Linked DNA regions of Drosophila melanogaster. The protein of the gene in region 2 interacts with the protein of the main gene of each other region in a pairwise test. Each region holds a gene or a part of one and is shown on either strand. Other genes may lie near its edges.

Region 1 (6,396 bases), on a different chromosome or scaffold from region 2:
AGAGCCACCAGGGCAAAAAGTTGGTGCAATGGATACTAACCATGACGCAACGTTGAAGTCTGCCCTGGAACTCGCCCAATTCGTGTTGAACGTAGTTCTGTGCCCTCGTCATGGGCGCGGAGCATCGATCCACACATCTCTGGACACTGTCCACGCTGGAGGTTCCATCCTGGCAGCACTTGGCCGCACACAAGTGCATCTCATTCTGGAATTTCGTGAAAAGCAAGTCAGTTTCGGGATATCCCCTAAAGCGAACTCCACTTACCTGCATTTTGCGCAGGTGCGTCTTGTCCATGTCGTCGATCATCTCCGTTACCGCGGCCTCGATTTTCTGGCGCTGTTGCTGGATCATTTTGCTTGTTTAATTGTTAATTACCTACGTCTTACAACCGATTTCGTAATATCAAAATAAATGCCGGCAGCGTGTTTTTTGTAATATTCGATTAGTGATGAGCCGACGCAGCTGCTAATAATCGATTAGCAGTCTATCGGTGCCGCTCTTCTTCTTTGGTTTTCCACTTGGTTTTGGTTTTCTTGTGGATATTTTTGAGCAATATTAAATTAAAACCATGTCGCTCTTGCAAAAACTAAGCAGATCTGGTGTACCGATGGCTTCATTAACCTGTCGTTCCCGAATGCCAATGGTCATTCGACTTATCAGCGGTAACACAGAAAAACCGGCGGAGGAATCTACTCCCGCAGTGAATACGGAAACGGCGGAGATTGGCAGCAGCAAGGGAGGATTCGCCCGTGCCTTCGACAAGTACACGGCACCAGCCACGCCTCCACAGCTGCCGGAAGACAACCAGACCTTCGCCTCCCTGCTGCGCAACTCCAAATTAATTGATGTGGGTACATTATTTAAGTAATCCCATTGTTTATGTAATAACTTGTTGATTTCTGGAGCAGCTGGACAACGCCGAGGGCAAGGTGGTCAGTGGCAAGATCTTTCATGTGGTGGGCGATGATCTCTACATAGACTTTGGTTGGAAGTTTCACTGCGTCTGCAGTCGTCCAACACGCAATGCCAGGTGAGTTCAATATAATTTCCTGTCTCTTTATCCAATAAACCGCCTTTCCTACTTCAGCGACTATGTGCGAGGAGCCCGTGTTCGACTGCGCATCAAGGACTTGGAGTTGTCCACCAAGTTTCTGGGTTCGTCCAAGGATATTACCATTCTAGAGGCAGATTGCCATTTGCTGGGTCTCCTGTCCACGCCCACCCGCCAGTCGACGGCCAAAACAACGCCGAAAATCGAAGATATCCTATAAATCCTTTATTAAAACCAAGGTTTGTTAAACGTTACGTCAAGTCTTCATCCTCCTTGGTTGTGAACTGGAACACTTCGTAGTGATGGTTGAGTTCCCGCACCGAATGCAGTTGGAATCTCGTGGCTAGAGCTCCGTTTTCAGAGTTCTTAACGAAAAATACTCTTTTCGCCCTGCTATGTACCAGGGCCATGGAGCACATAAGGCAGGGTTCCTGCAGCAGATAGATATCGTAGCCGGTGCACAGATAGGGTCCGAATTTGGCCAGGTTATCTGCTCCTTGAACTGCGTCCACTTCTTTGCATTCTCTCGACTTTTCCGCTCCGAATGTCAGGTCTTTGTAGTCTTCATTGTTCATCAGGTAATCGTAGTAGGCTTTAGGAATACCCCGCAGAGTGGTATCCTTCTTGAAATCTTCGGTGAATGTAACCTCCGTTTTTGTGGCGCCTCCTTCTTGACTGCGAGCCACAAAATCGACGAGCATCATGCAGCAGTGCTCGTGCGGCCTACAAACTTCACCAGTTCCAGCAATGGACACAATGCTGGGTTGTCGCGGATCCACGCAGATGCCCACCGGACGATTGGCATTGACATCCCGCGAGAGCCTCACAAGCAATTGCCCGATCCTTTTGTGAAATGTGCGTTGTGCGGAGCTAAAGTTGCTGCCATTCCTCAGTGACTCCGAGTAGTGATTAGGGTGAAACTTGCAGGGCCAGTGCTTAAGGGTCTTCTCGTACTGCACCCGCAGTCGGGGCATCCGTTCCGGCACCTCCACCACCCGGACTCCCTGGCACAAAGCACGGAGCACGTGCTCCGAAAAGGCAAACTGTTCAAGGTGTTGTTCCAGGCTTTGAGACACTCCGATCTCTGAGCTGGGACATATGAGCACGCTGCGATCCTGGACGCGCTTTAGGTGTTGAAAGTGGGGCAATTTCTGTGAGAGCTCCTGGATGACCGCCTGGAGCTGCTGTTTCGTCTCCAACTCGCAACTGTGCGCCTTGATGAGCGCAATATCCTCGTCGAACTCATCGGAGAGGATGGCCCGGATCCCAGTTATGTCTTCATCCAGATTGGGTGATTTTCGAGCACGTTTGTTTGGTGGCGCGGATATATCCATTATTTACTTAATTCTTCAATTAGAAGAATGCCAATTGGAATCGATTGAAATAGGTTATCGATAAGTGCCAAGCGCTGGCGTTGAAACAGCTGTTTGGATATTAAGCGCCAACTTTGAAAAATGTCTTCTATTTAAAATATGCATTTAAAAATAATTTAGTGAAAGATTATACGTTTAAAAGTCTTTAAAGCTATTTAGCTTGGGAGCTGTTTCAAATATTTCCTACTTTTGATATACATTCCCTAATACTTAATCTAATCAGCTCAATAATCTGATCAATTGTCTAATTTGCATTATAATTCCTTACAACCAATATCTTTTTTGATGTCTACATGTAAGCAGTGCCCAGTCTGATACCCAAAGTTTAAATTCAAAATTCCAGTGAAATATGTGCTTGTGATTTCTAGTCAAAACTTAGAGGAAACATCGAAATGTGTCTGCGCTTGTTTTGCGGCTATTTGTCGCTTTACATTGGCTGCATCTTCATCGGCTTCACGGGGATGCTTCTAGCTTTAATGGTCTTTTCTGTGGGTCTATTCGAGATGATCAAGGGCAATCCGGAAACAGTGCTTGTGGTCATGGCAATGGTCTTTGGCATTGTCCAAGCCCTAGCTAAAATTCTTCTTCTCCTCGGAACGATGTGGGTAAGTGAATACTTTTATCCTTAAATTTGTAAAGATATCCAATCGCTGTTCTACAGGACATGTGCTGGGCCATGCTCTTGTCCTTTTTTATAGGTATTGCGGCCCTGGGGCTCCTCATCGCACTTGTGGTGCTCTTCTACATCCTCTTGTGGGACCCTCTGCACCTCCTTCTGGGCGGTTTTCTTAGCATACGTAAGTTGGTGAAAAAATTTTGAATTTCTTTTGGATCTGAAAACAAAAGAAGATAGAGAAGTAGATTAATACATTAACTATCGAGAACTTCTTTCTATAACACACACACAACATATAACACAAACAAGCAACAAAACGTAGTGGACTTAAAAAGTACATAAATTCTATTCACGTTCGATTTTTAATTAAAATAATATTTTTCTCTTATCCAGTCGAGATGTACTACGAATGGGTCATCATTTCAACCTGGTGGTGCTGTCGATCATGCACCCACGACTGCTAGGAGTTGCAGTTGGTTCCACTTGTTGCATGCATAGAAGATACAAACATACCATGTTGGAGATCGAACGCCTTGGAATGAGCATACTATGCAACTCTCAGCGATCTTCGCATCGGATGTAATACTGTGAGCACCGAGAGAGAGAGAGAGAACTTGTATTCGAATCCCCCCATTATTTGTGTATGAGGTGACTTCGTGCTCGGGTCTTCCGACTTGAGTGTCTTTCAAGTAAGTCAGTTCACTCTGAGACGCGCGCTGGATATGTCGTTCCTGGAGCGCTCGAGCTGTTCCTGCGAATGAGCGTGTGTGTGCCAGTGTACCGCCCCCTACCCGTCAAGAAAAAAAAAAGGAAATAAAAATATCGGCAGGAAAAATATCAAAAATTATATCTGAAAATACACAAGTGTATCTGCAAGTGCAGTCGTATATGTGAGACGAGAGTGTTTTCCATTTGCCGCAATTAGAAGTAACGGTGCGAAGGTGATTTGCACGGGAGAAACTGGAAAATCAGCGAAGCGCGAGATACTTGTATCTGCAATTTGTGTGTTTTCGTTTTGTTTTCGGTTTCGCAAATAGCAAGTGAAGAGCCCATTACTTTAATTCAATCAACGATCGGTTGTTGTGTGGCCCGCTTTTGGAGAATCCCCACAATTTGTTCTAAGCCCAAATAAAAGTAATAAAATAAAAGCCCCAACCCCAGAGACAGAAGTCCGTGAGCCGGTTTAGTCATCCGAAAGTTCCGAGAACTGAGCGCAACATTGAGATACATTCGCGTATTCTCATTCCGAATCGCTGGACACCAGCTGTTGGCCACAATGCCTCCGTACCTGCTGGATATTTGCCTTACCTCGGAGCTTAGTAGACCGCGATAAGATATCGGCGACTAGTGGTGAATAAAGCCAGATACTCGTACTCGAAACTGCGAAAACGTCCATATACGACAAACAAACGGAAAAGAAAATCGCACAGTTCGGTGCCAGTGTTTAAAGTTAAATCGAGCGCTTATCTTATCGGCCAGCCATTGATTGAGCTTTGCCTTTCCGCTCTGCACCGGGTGAAGTCATTTGGCCACAATTCGCCCGTTTTAGATACTGTATCTGCGGCCATATCTAATGCAGCAGCCAAAGCAGTCGCGATAATAACGACCTCCTTCAGTGTCAGTTGCTCTGCAATCGCCGTCTAAATTTAGAGACAGATCAGGCGCGAGGGACCAGATCTGGCCAAAACCAAACCAGACGCACTCGGAAATCGTAAATCAAGCAGCCGGAGGAGACCAAGATGGACATAGAATCCGATTCGGACACCTCGGAGAGATGGGAGGACTTTTTTGGTAAGCGAACGGGATCACTGAACTTCTGCGTGCAGAAATGACATGACTCAGCGGGCTGGGGAGGTGCACTGAGGAAAAATCACGTATCAATCACAGATAGAGACTAGTAATATTGGTTTTCAGCATTTCAGACGACATTAGTCTACATTTTAATAATCCGTCATTGAAGGCATAAGAACATACAAAAGCTTAGGGTACTATATGTTTACAGTAGGATTATGAATAATATACATATGTCCCGATCTTATATTTCTTCCTGTGTGGGAGACACTACGCATTCTCCAAGAACTCCAAACTCCGAATATGGACTTGCGTACAAGAACAGACCATCAAGTTGGCTTTCTTTGGCTCGGCGGGTTGGGGGATGGTGATGGAATGGGGATTGCGGCTGGTGCTGGGACTGGGACTGGGGCCAATGCATTTGGTGGATCGACGGCACCGTTCCGTTCCCATAACTGTACAAAAAGTGGGGGGAAAATAAAATAACAACCCACTGAGTGGCATTGCGTGAATTGCGGTGTAACGGGTTCGCTTTGTTTTTGCATTCCGCTTTTGCGCAGTCCGAAATTTTTCGACATTATTTAAGCGCTCGAAAAGTCGGTTGTAATGAAATTTAATGATAATACATAATTTCGGGCCATTTTGACCCACATATTACCATACAAGTGTGGCCAAGAAAAGGTCTGTCTTCGGATTTGCAATTTATGTTTTGGGTGGCTCCATTCGGTTTGCTGACCCACTTAATTCGTAACGCCGATTTGCTTGTAACTTTGTGGCACATGCTGCATATTTGTTTTTCTTCTCACCGAAAGCTTTCGTTCAATTAAGTGCATTAGTCATAAGTCTTGACACTGCGTTTCTTTTGTTGACTTTCTTTATTATTATTGCACGCCCGCTAACAGCGGATGTTAGATAACGCCGCCCTTAGCGCAACAGCGCTGTAAGTAGCTCTGTTAGTTAACCCATGTTAGGCCAAAGAAGGTTTCCAAACTTATAATAATCAATAGTAATATGTATATGTAATAAGTAATATGTATTATCATACTAATTGCAAGTAACTCTATTAAAACTGTAAAACTGAATTTAAGCAATCTTTTGGCCAACACAATTCCAAACCAAATGTGTGAAGAGAGAGAGAGAGAATAACTAATTTAGTTAAGTACCTTCAAAAAACTGCCCGAAGAAAATAGTTTAAAACGGGTTAAGATGGTGCGTCAATTATTGATAACGGACACTGCGAATTCAGCAAGTGGCCTTTGTTATATCAATTATATACACATACATGAGTAGGGCGAATGAATCATGTATAGGTGATGGGGGGGTGTTGCGGCATTTATGGGTTTGTTCTGCTGATCCCACCAGCTTAGACATAGACGATTGTGCAAGTGGTTGACATTTGGCGGGGTCAGCAAACGTGACGCCATCTGTCGGCCGCATGTCCAGGATATTACCGATCGCATCGACCTATAAATAGAACCCGCCGAATGATATCGCCAGCAGTTGACCGCATGCACTATCAAATGTCACCAGTTCGTCTTCTTTTGCCCTTTCCGTCACCGTGTTT
Region 2 (7,176 bases):
ATCTGCACCTCTTCCCAAGGAATGCAAATTGAATTAGGCCTGGCATAATATTGTCATTCAATTAGATCATCATCTGGTTGGGCTCGTGCGGTTTTACCCCGGACTCCAAGGTGTTTCGCCCGTGCAAACATCAACAGATGCTGGGTCCTCGCTCCTGGGCATGTAGAATGTGGCATTTAATAAGCTGCCAAAGAAAAACAAAGTAATTGAGTGGCAGAGTAAATTGTACAATTTCGATTAATGTAGAAATATTTGAATTGCCTGATGTTTATGAACATTGTTGTTTGTGGAAAGTTAAGTGCTTATTGCAAAAGGCTAGGGTCAATCTCGAGGATTAGATTATTCTTATATAAGTTGAGTAATCTTTTTAATTAGATTAAAATAATATTCAAATCAATACTCAGTCTTGACTTTGCCTTGCTTTTAAAAAACGTTTTACAAATATAAATATGCATAGCTTCCTTGCATGCATGGAATATAAATATCATGCTCTGCATTATAAATGTTTTTATGAATTGTCCTGTAAAATGGCTTCGGGCCTGTGTCCTTTGTGCCTCGTAGTCCAAATATTCGCTTTTGTCCTTTCATTAGCGTAACAACGAACAATGTTAATCAAATAGCTCATTTAATAGGCTGCAAACCACGAGCACGTTTTACACGGTCACCCGGAAATAAAGCCATTGGGCATGCATCATGCACCATGACCCCCGCATCATCCTCCTCCTGCTCCTCTCCTGCTCCTCTCCAGCACCTCCCGCTCCTTTTTTTTCGGCCAGTTTATAAATATTGCTCAACTGTTTGGAATAAAAATGTCAACACGCCGGGCGAGGCCGTACGCAATGCATAATAGAGGACACACAATACCTCCGAACCAACGAACCACCGATCCTGTGGACCACCGTCATCCTGCCACCGCCGGCGGAGATGTCCTTTTTTGCGCATAGCCACAGGCAGAAGGCAACAAAAAATGCGGAAAATACATGTCGCCGTGTTTGTGTGCTCCTGCTGCAACGGACGCAATTCAAAGGAATTTTTTGTGGCTCGCAGAGCGAGCGAGCGAGAGAGCCGAGCCGGCCACGTCGTCCTGTGGTCCTTCGCCTTTCGATCCCCTCACTCCTCGCTCCTGTCCTGTCCCGCTTGACCATGTCTGCCGACCCGATCCCAATCCCAATCCCAATTTCCAGCGTTAAATGTTTTGCGTCAATTTGTCGGCTTGTCCTGCAAAAGGTGAATGAAGCGAGGTTACAGCAGAGGCCAAGATAATAGTGGTAGGGTTGGTTAAAGTACATACCTGTATAGAAATTTGATCACACACAATTTCAAGTAAACTCTCTTCAATTTAATAAGTAAACTGTAATTTTAAGAGTTGCAAGTACATTTATAGGTGGCGCTCCTATTTTTTTGCTCACAACTGTGCCGTCTGCTTTTAGCACCGTTAAATGGCGGTGAAGTCGCCTACCTGGTGACGTCATGCGGCGTGCAGGACTCGGACTCCTTGCGCTGCTCTGCGCCCAGGATAATGACATTATCAGCCGCAGCAGCCAGCGTCCGCCAAACAAACGATAAGCAATCATTTGTTGGGAATACAATTTCGCCCTATTGGCCCTGTTGGCACTTTGTTGTGATCGCTTGATCTTGCCGAAAATGCGACTTGTCACACGGCCACAATGCGTGTGGGTGTTCCCATTGTTGACAACACAGATTCTCTGCGCCCTTTGTCTGCGAATCGAAACAATTTAATACCCAGAAATTGGCCCAAATCGGAAACTCGGAAGTAAAATCTGATTTCTGTTTATTTTTGATCTTAGCGCTCTAGATTCGATGATCGATCAGCTGGCGTTGTGCAACACTACTAAGCGGAATGAATGGAAATAGAACTAGGAGGATAAGAGTACAAAGCGCAGAGCGCGAATAGAAACTTCGGCACGCTGGCGGGAAAGTTGTAAATTCGGTCGTTTTTTCAATGTTAAGTGTTCATTGTGTTTAAACTTTAATCGTAATGAAAAATTTATAAGGATTATTAAGTTAATAAAGCAGGAACGCTGCTGTTTCGTTGCGTAAGTGAAATGCTCGGAGAATGTGAATAATATTACAGTTAATATGTACATAACAAAATACAAGAAAAACGGCGCTTTCCCTGGAAGGGAGTATTTAGTGCACACCCGCGCAAGAACAGAGTAGCCACCCATATGATATTCCAGTGACATAGCCTCCAGTCCTCCAGAGGAGGCTTATCAATTAAACAAAATTTGATAATTACTGCCATTAAGAGTCCGCCTAGCGCTGATTAACTAGAAGATACATAAATTCCCCCTTCCCAGACTGGCGGAAGTAACTATTTTGTGCCCTAAGGCCGTGGCTAGCTTAATTTGTGGCCTTTTTATTTTCGCAATCGTCGTAGACGAGCATTTTAATTGCGTGTAGGCTTCACTTTTAATTAAACACAATGCTTATTTTCCGCTTTTTGCGGATTTTTGCCCGCTCTGCGTTTGTTTTAATGGCTGACATCGGCATCTGTGCCAACATCTTAATTACATAATAAACATAATTTAGTTTGTCCGGTCACACGCATAAATGTTCGTTTTATAATTTTATGACTAGATTTCTTTTTTCTTTTTTGGATGGGTGGGGGGTGGGGGGTTGGTTAAACATGTACGACGATCTTCAACGAAAGCATCAACAATGAGCGAGTGAGACAGCTGTAGCGATAGTGGGTGTGTATTGGTGTTTCTCTCCCTTGTCCACCAGCAAGCAACAATGTCCAAACTGTTAACCCCTAGATGGGCTGGGGGATTACAATACCACGGTCACAGTGAAGGCTTCCTCTGGACTAACCAGGAATTCGTGCTTGCGGGTTTTCACGCGCAGAAAGCACAGCTTATCATCGGTATCCAGATCACGGACGCAGCTCTGGGCCAATTTCAGGAAACTGGCGTGCAGGTGCTTCACAATCGACTGGGCCGTGGTCAAATCGAATGAAGTGTGCAGCAGACTGTCCCCGGCATTTTCCGACACCACGAATCCCTGCGCCTGCTCCGTAATCCGGTTTGTGTTGTCCGTGTTTCGCTGCACCACATCCTCCATGGCCTTCAGATAAATTTTCGACATTTTGAAAAAGATTTGTAGTAAAACTGGAAATTAGAAATTGTCTAAAAGATTTATTTTCTAGTTATGTTTGATCCGTATTCGAGTGATGTTAGAAAGGTACTGAAGTTTTCTGTAGTCTTTGCTGATAAATTGCTGAAATTGTATCAAAAGGCTACTAAAATGGGAGAGTTTTTTGATAGGCGAAATAGTAGAAACAATTTTGAAAATTTTCTAATCACTTTCTTCTTAGCGAAGTTCTTAGTAAATGTTTTGTTATATTGCTTACTCCCGAAGTGGTGTTTATATAACGATCTTAGGGAATATACATATATTGCTATATCAATTACATCGAAAAAGGTATCGCAGTACCATAGCTAGATATGTAATTGCAGGTTATCTTTACACTTAAATATGCATCAACTATTGCTGATTAAACCTCCATACTTAATTCCAGATGAGCGGCAAGCGGACACGTAGCTTTAAGTGCGCCGTACACCATCGAGATCGTGAAGTCTGCTCCGAAAACGATTTCCAGCTGGTGCTAAACGAACCGCCACTCTTTCGCAAAATGGTGCACGCCGTGGCCATGGAGATCCTGCCCGAGGAGCGGGATCGCAAGTACTACGCCGATCGCTACACCTGCTGTCCGCCGCCTTTTTTCATCATCCTGGTTACTCTGGTGGAGGTGCGTTGAAAGTTTAAGTTCTCCTTGAACAGACCCTTGACTACTTAACTACTTTTCCCCCAGCTGGGTTTCTTTGTTTACCACTCAGTGGTCACGGGTGAGGCGGCGCCAAGGGGACCCATACCCTCGGACTCCATGTTCATCTACCGTCCCGATAAGCGTCACGAGATCTGGCGCTTCCTCTTCTACATGGTACTCCATGCCGGGTGGCTGCATCTCGGTTTTAACGTGGCAGTTCAGCTGGTTTTTGGGCTGCCACTGGAGATGGTTCATGGTTCCACGAGGATAGCCTGCATCTACTTCTCCGGGGTGCTGGCGGGAAGCCTGGGCACTAGCATCTTTGACCCGGATGTGTTCCTTGTGGGCGCCAGTGGTGGAGTATACGCTTTGCTAGCCGCCCACCTGGCCAATGTGCTTCTCAACTATCACCAGATGCGTTATGGAGTCATCAAGCTGCTTCACATTCTGGTCTTCGGTGAGTGTTTAGCCTACCGCACCTTAGTGTTGTTGTTAATACAGTTCAATTTCTTCTAGTTTCCTTCGACTTTGGCTTTGCCATCTATGCTCGCTATGCTGGCGACGAACTGCAGCTGGGATCATCGAGTGAATTCCTGGCCATAGATCAGGCGGAAACGGCGGGTGCTGTTTCGTATGTGGCCCATTTGGCTGGTGCCATTGCTGGCCTAACTATCGGGCTGCTGGTGCTCAAGAGCTTTGAGCAGAAGCTCCACGAGCAGCTGCTCTGGTGGATCGCCTTGGGAACGTACTTGGCGCTGGTGGTCTTCGCCATCGCCTTCAACATCATGAATGGATTTGCGATGTTCAATATACGCGTGGAGAAGATCCGTGTCACGGAAACCATTTTCAATGATTTCCAGGTGTGAAATCCCAGGAGGATAAGCGATAGGGATGATCAGAATTCGATCCTTGTTTCGTATTTAATTGATATTTTGCTTACATTTTGTTCATTGCGTTACATTGAAGTTTTTATTGTTTTTGGACGTCGATTAAGTTTCGCGTTTATTGTTTTGTTAACCCTATATCTGTAGGATCAGATATGAATATCTCATTGTTTGCTTACGTGTCATGCGACGTAAATTATTTTGTTTTGTTTGCTAGTTAAGTACAAACATATTGTAAGAATCGTAAGAGAATATTTACAACAAATCGAACTGATTAGGTGTAACATAATGCTCAAGGAATTACACATTTTCTACATATTATTAAGATTAACCAGAAGAACCAGAAGACTTTATATGGGAGCTAATAATGAATAAAACTCCACAAGCTGTAAATTAGAATTACAAATATATGTATATGCGTGTGCTTTAAGGACTATATGGAAACCGATATATTGGCAATGCAAGCGATTTATTCTAAATTTTACAGGCCTTATAGCAATTGAGATTACTACCTCAACAACAACTGATAAATAATATTAAATATATTCCAAAATGTTGAAGTAAATCGGTTTCAATTTGATATAGCCGAGCGTAACTGAGCACTGCCAGCTTTAAGAAATCAATTACGACCAAGCACCAACAGAGTAAAGCATAAATTTACATATTTTCTATTTACACATTTTGTTTAACTTGTAAATAAAAGTACATTTAAATTTTAAAAAAAAATGTGTTTCATGCTTGTAATTGGGGTTAAACGGGAATTTTTAGCGATTGTGGTGTGGACACACTTACACCGATCGTTAAGCACTTGTTTATTTACAGTTATAAATGTAAAAGTCGAGATGAAGCTCAAGGGTTAAAGTTTTCCAGTGGCAATGTTGCCACACGTTTTTTTTTTGCTGATCGCAGAACTTACGGTTTCAAGTGGACGCGTCGGTTTCGTTTTTCTTTCCGCGAAAATCCCATTAAATTGGCTTAAAAAGTGAGCTGGAGTGAGTTTAAACCGATTCGCGTGCTGGGTGATAAGGATTGGCCATCCGTCCTTATCATTTCCTTGAGTTATGACACAATCCGCGCGCAAAAAACTACAATTTCGTTTGGCGCAGCACGCGCACCTGGCAATCCTTCGTTTCGTTTGTTAACTTTGGCTTTTTCTGGCGTTTCTCGTTGCGTGTTTTTGGCCAGGACATTGGGAGAAACTCGGGACAGCCACTCGGAGGAGCAGTCAACAAATCCCAATCCCGGCGGACACGGAATTTATGTTTGTTTGAGCACATTTCGCCGTCAAGTCATTCGTCAGGGCTGTCGCATATTTCGCGCGGGCGCGGGGGTGTCGCCGGGAAGAAGCAGAAAATGATGGAAAAATGCGGCATGGCAAATGCAAAGCGAAATGTGACAGGAACGCAACTGAGTCCTCTTAGCGATCCTTTTGGACAGGAGCTGCTTCTATTGACGCTGATTAATGCGGCATTGGTGTTATTTCGAGGCGGTTTGGGAAAAAAATGTACAAACCTGCTCAAAGAAAGAAAAACTGGATAAAACTGGTAAGAAAATCAATGAATTCATAAAAGTTTACTAAAATAACCAATTACATTAGTGTTAGTGCATTGCTATTCCTATTGTTGCTCTAATTATTAAACAATTATATCATTGATCCCAGTAATGTTTTAATTAACTCTGTACGCAGTCTGATTAAAAACCAGAACGTAATTTGTAGCCAGCTTCTAATGCGAGAATGCTGCTCTAAGATACTTTTAGATCAGGTTTAATGTCAATAGACTAAACTTGCTGCACTGCAACTAACTTATTCCGCAGGAATGAAGCCCGTTTGGAGTAGTCTTTAGTGTATAAATCATATCAATCGAAGCCTTCCTCCGCTCGGAATTCAACATGACCAGGACGGCAATCCTCAGTTTGTGGTGCGCAAACATGTTTATAAAAAGTACAAGTTAATATTTATGTAATTCCACAGATACGAACGGGGCTGGGCGCACAAGAAGCAGAAGAAGGGCGGAGATCATTACATTGACATATTCATGCGGAATCGGAATCGGGGAATTCCAGGGAAGGCACAAACAATGGAGCACGCGACCATGTGCGGAGCGGATGAGGATGAGGAGCAGAGCGTCCCACGCGACTGCCGTGAATCAACCTGCAGCCTGCAACTGGCAACTTGCAGTTGGCGCAACCTGCGATATGCCATTCGTCTGGCGAAGAAACCTCACACATCTCGCATCTCACATCGTCCAGTTGTCGTCGCTTTATCCGCAACATGGACATGGGGACCGGAATCGTCGGAATGCTTATCAAGGGGCGCACTTGTAGCTGTCATAAGGCCAACTGAAATATTGGCAGCCCAAACAGAGACCGAAACGGCACCAGAGGAGCAACCTCTTGCCTGGGCCCCACTGAACTCCTTTCAATGAACTAACTGAATGTGCACTGGACAAAAAGTCCACTTGAGGTGGAAAGAAAGGGGAAGAGGCACCTGAACTGCCCCAG

What was found. The genes of interacting proteins can lie anywhere in the genome.
Region 1: the proteins of robl62A (region 2) and CG10927 interact in a two-hybrid assay, tested with the Drosophila melanogaster proteins (one large-scale study listed by BioGRID).

The regions. Positions count from the first base shown.
Region 1 is NT_033778.4:18,609,117-18,615,512, reverse strand, and holds CG10927 (uncharacterized protein), read right to left. Parts: upstream 2,424-6,396; 5' UTR 2,387-2,423; coding exon 1,304-2,386; 3' UTR 1,273-1,303; downstream 1-1,272. Other genes in the region: CG5323 (uncharacterized protein), read right to left, coding at 41-205, 266-352; mRpS28 (mitochondrial ribosomal protein S28), read left to right, coding at 570-848, 910-1,031, 1,089-1,272; CG42697 (uncharacterized protein), read left to right, coding at 2,818-3,030, 3,087-3,222, 3,435-3,505; GEFmeso (guanine nucleotide exchange factor in mesoderm), read left to right, coding at 4,781-4,832.
Region 2 is NT_037436.4:1,473,653-1,480,828, reverse strand, and holds robl62A (robl62A), read right to left. Parts: upstream 3,211-7,176; 5' UTR 3,109-3,210; coding exon 2,794-3,108; 3' UTR 2,460-2,793; downstream 1-2,459. Other genes in the region: stet (stem cell tumor), read left to right, coding at 3,542-3,772, 3,836-4,247, 4,307-4,656.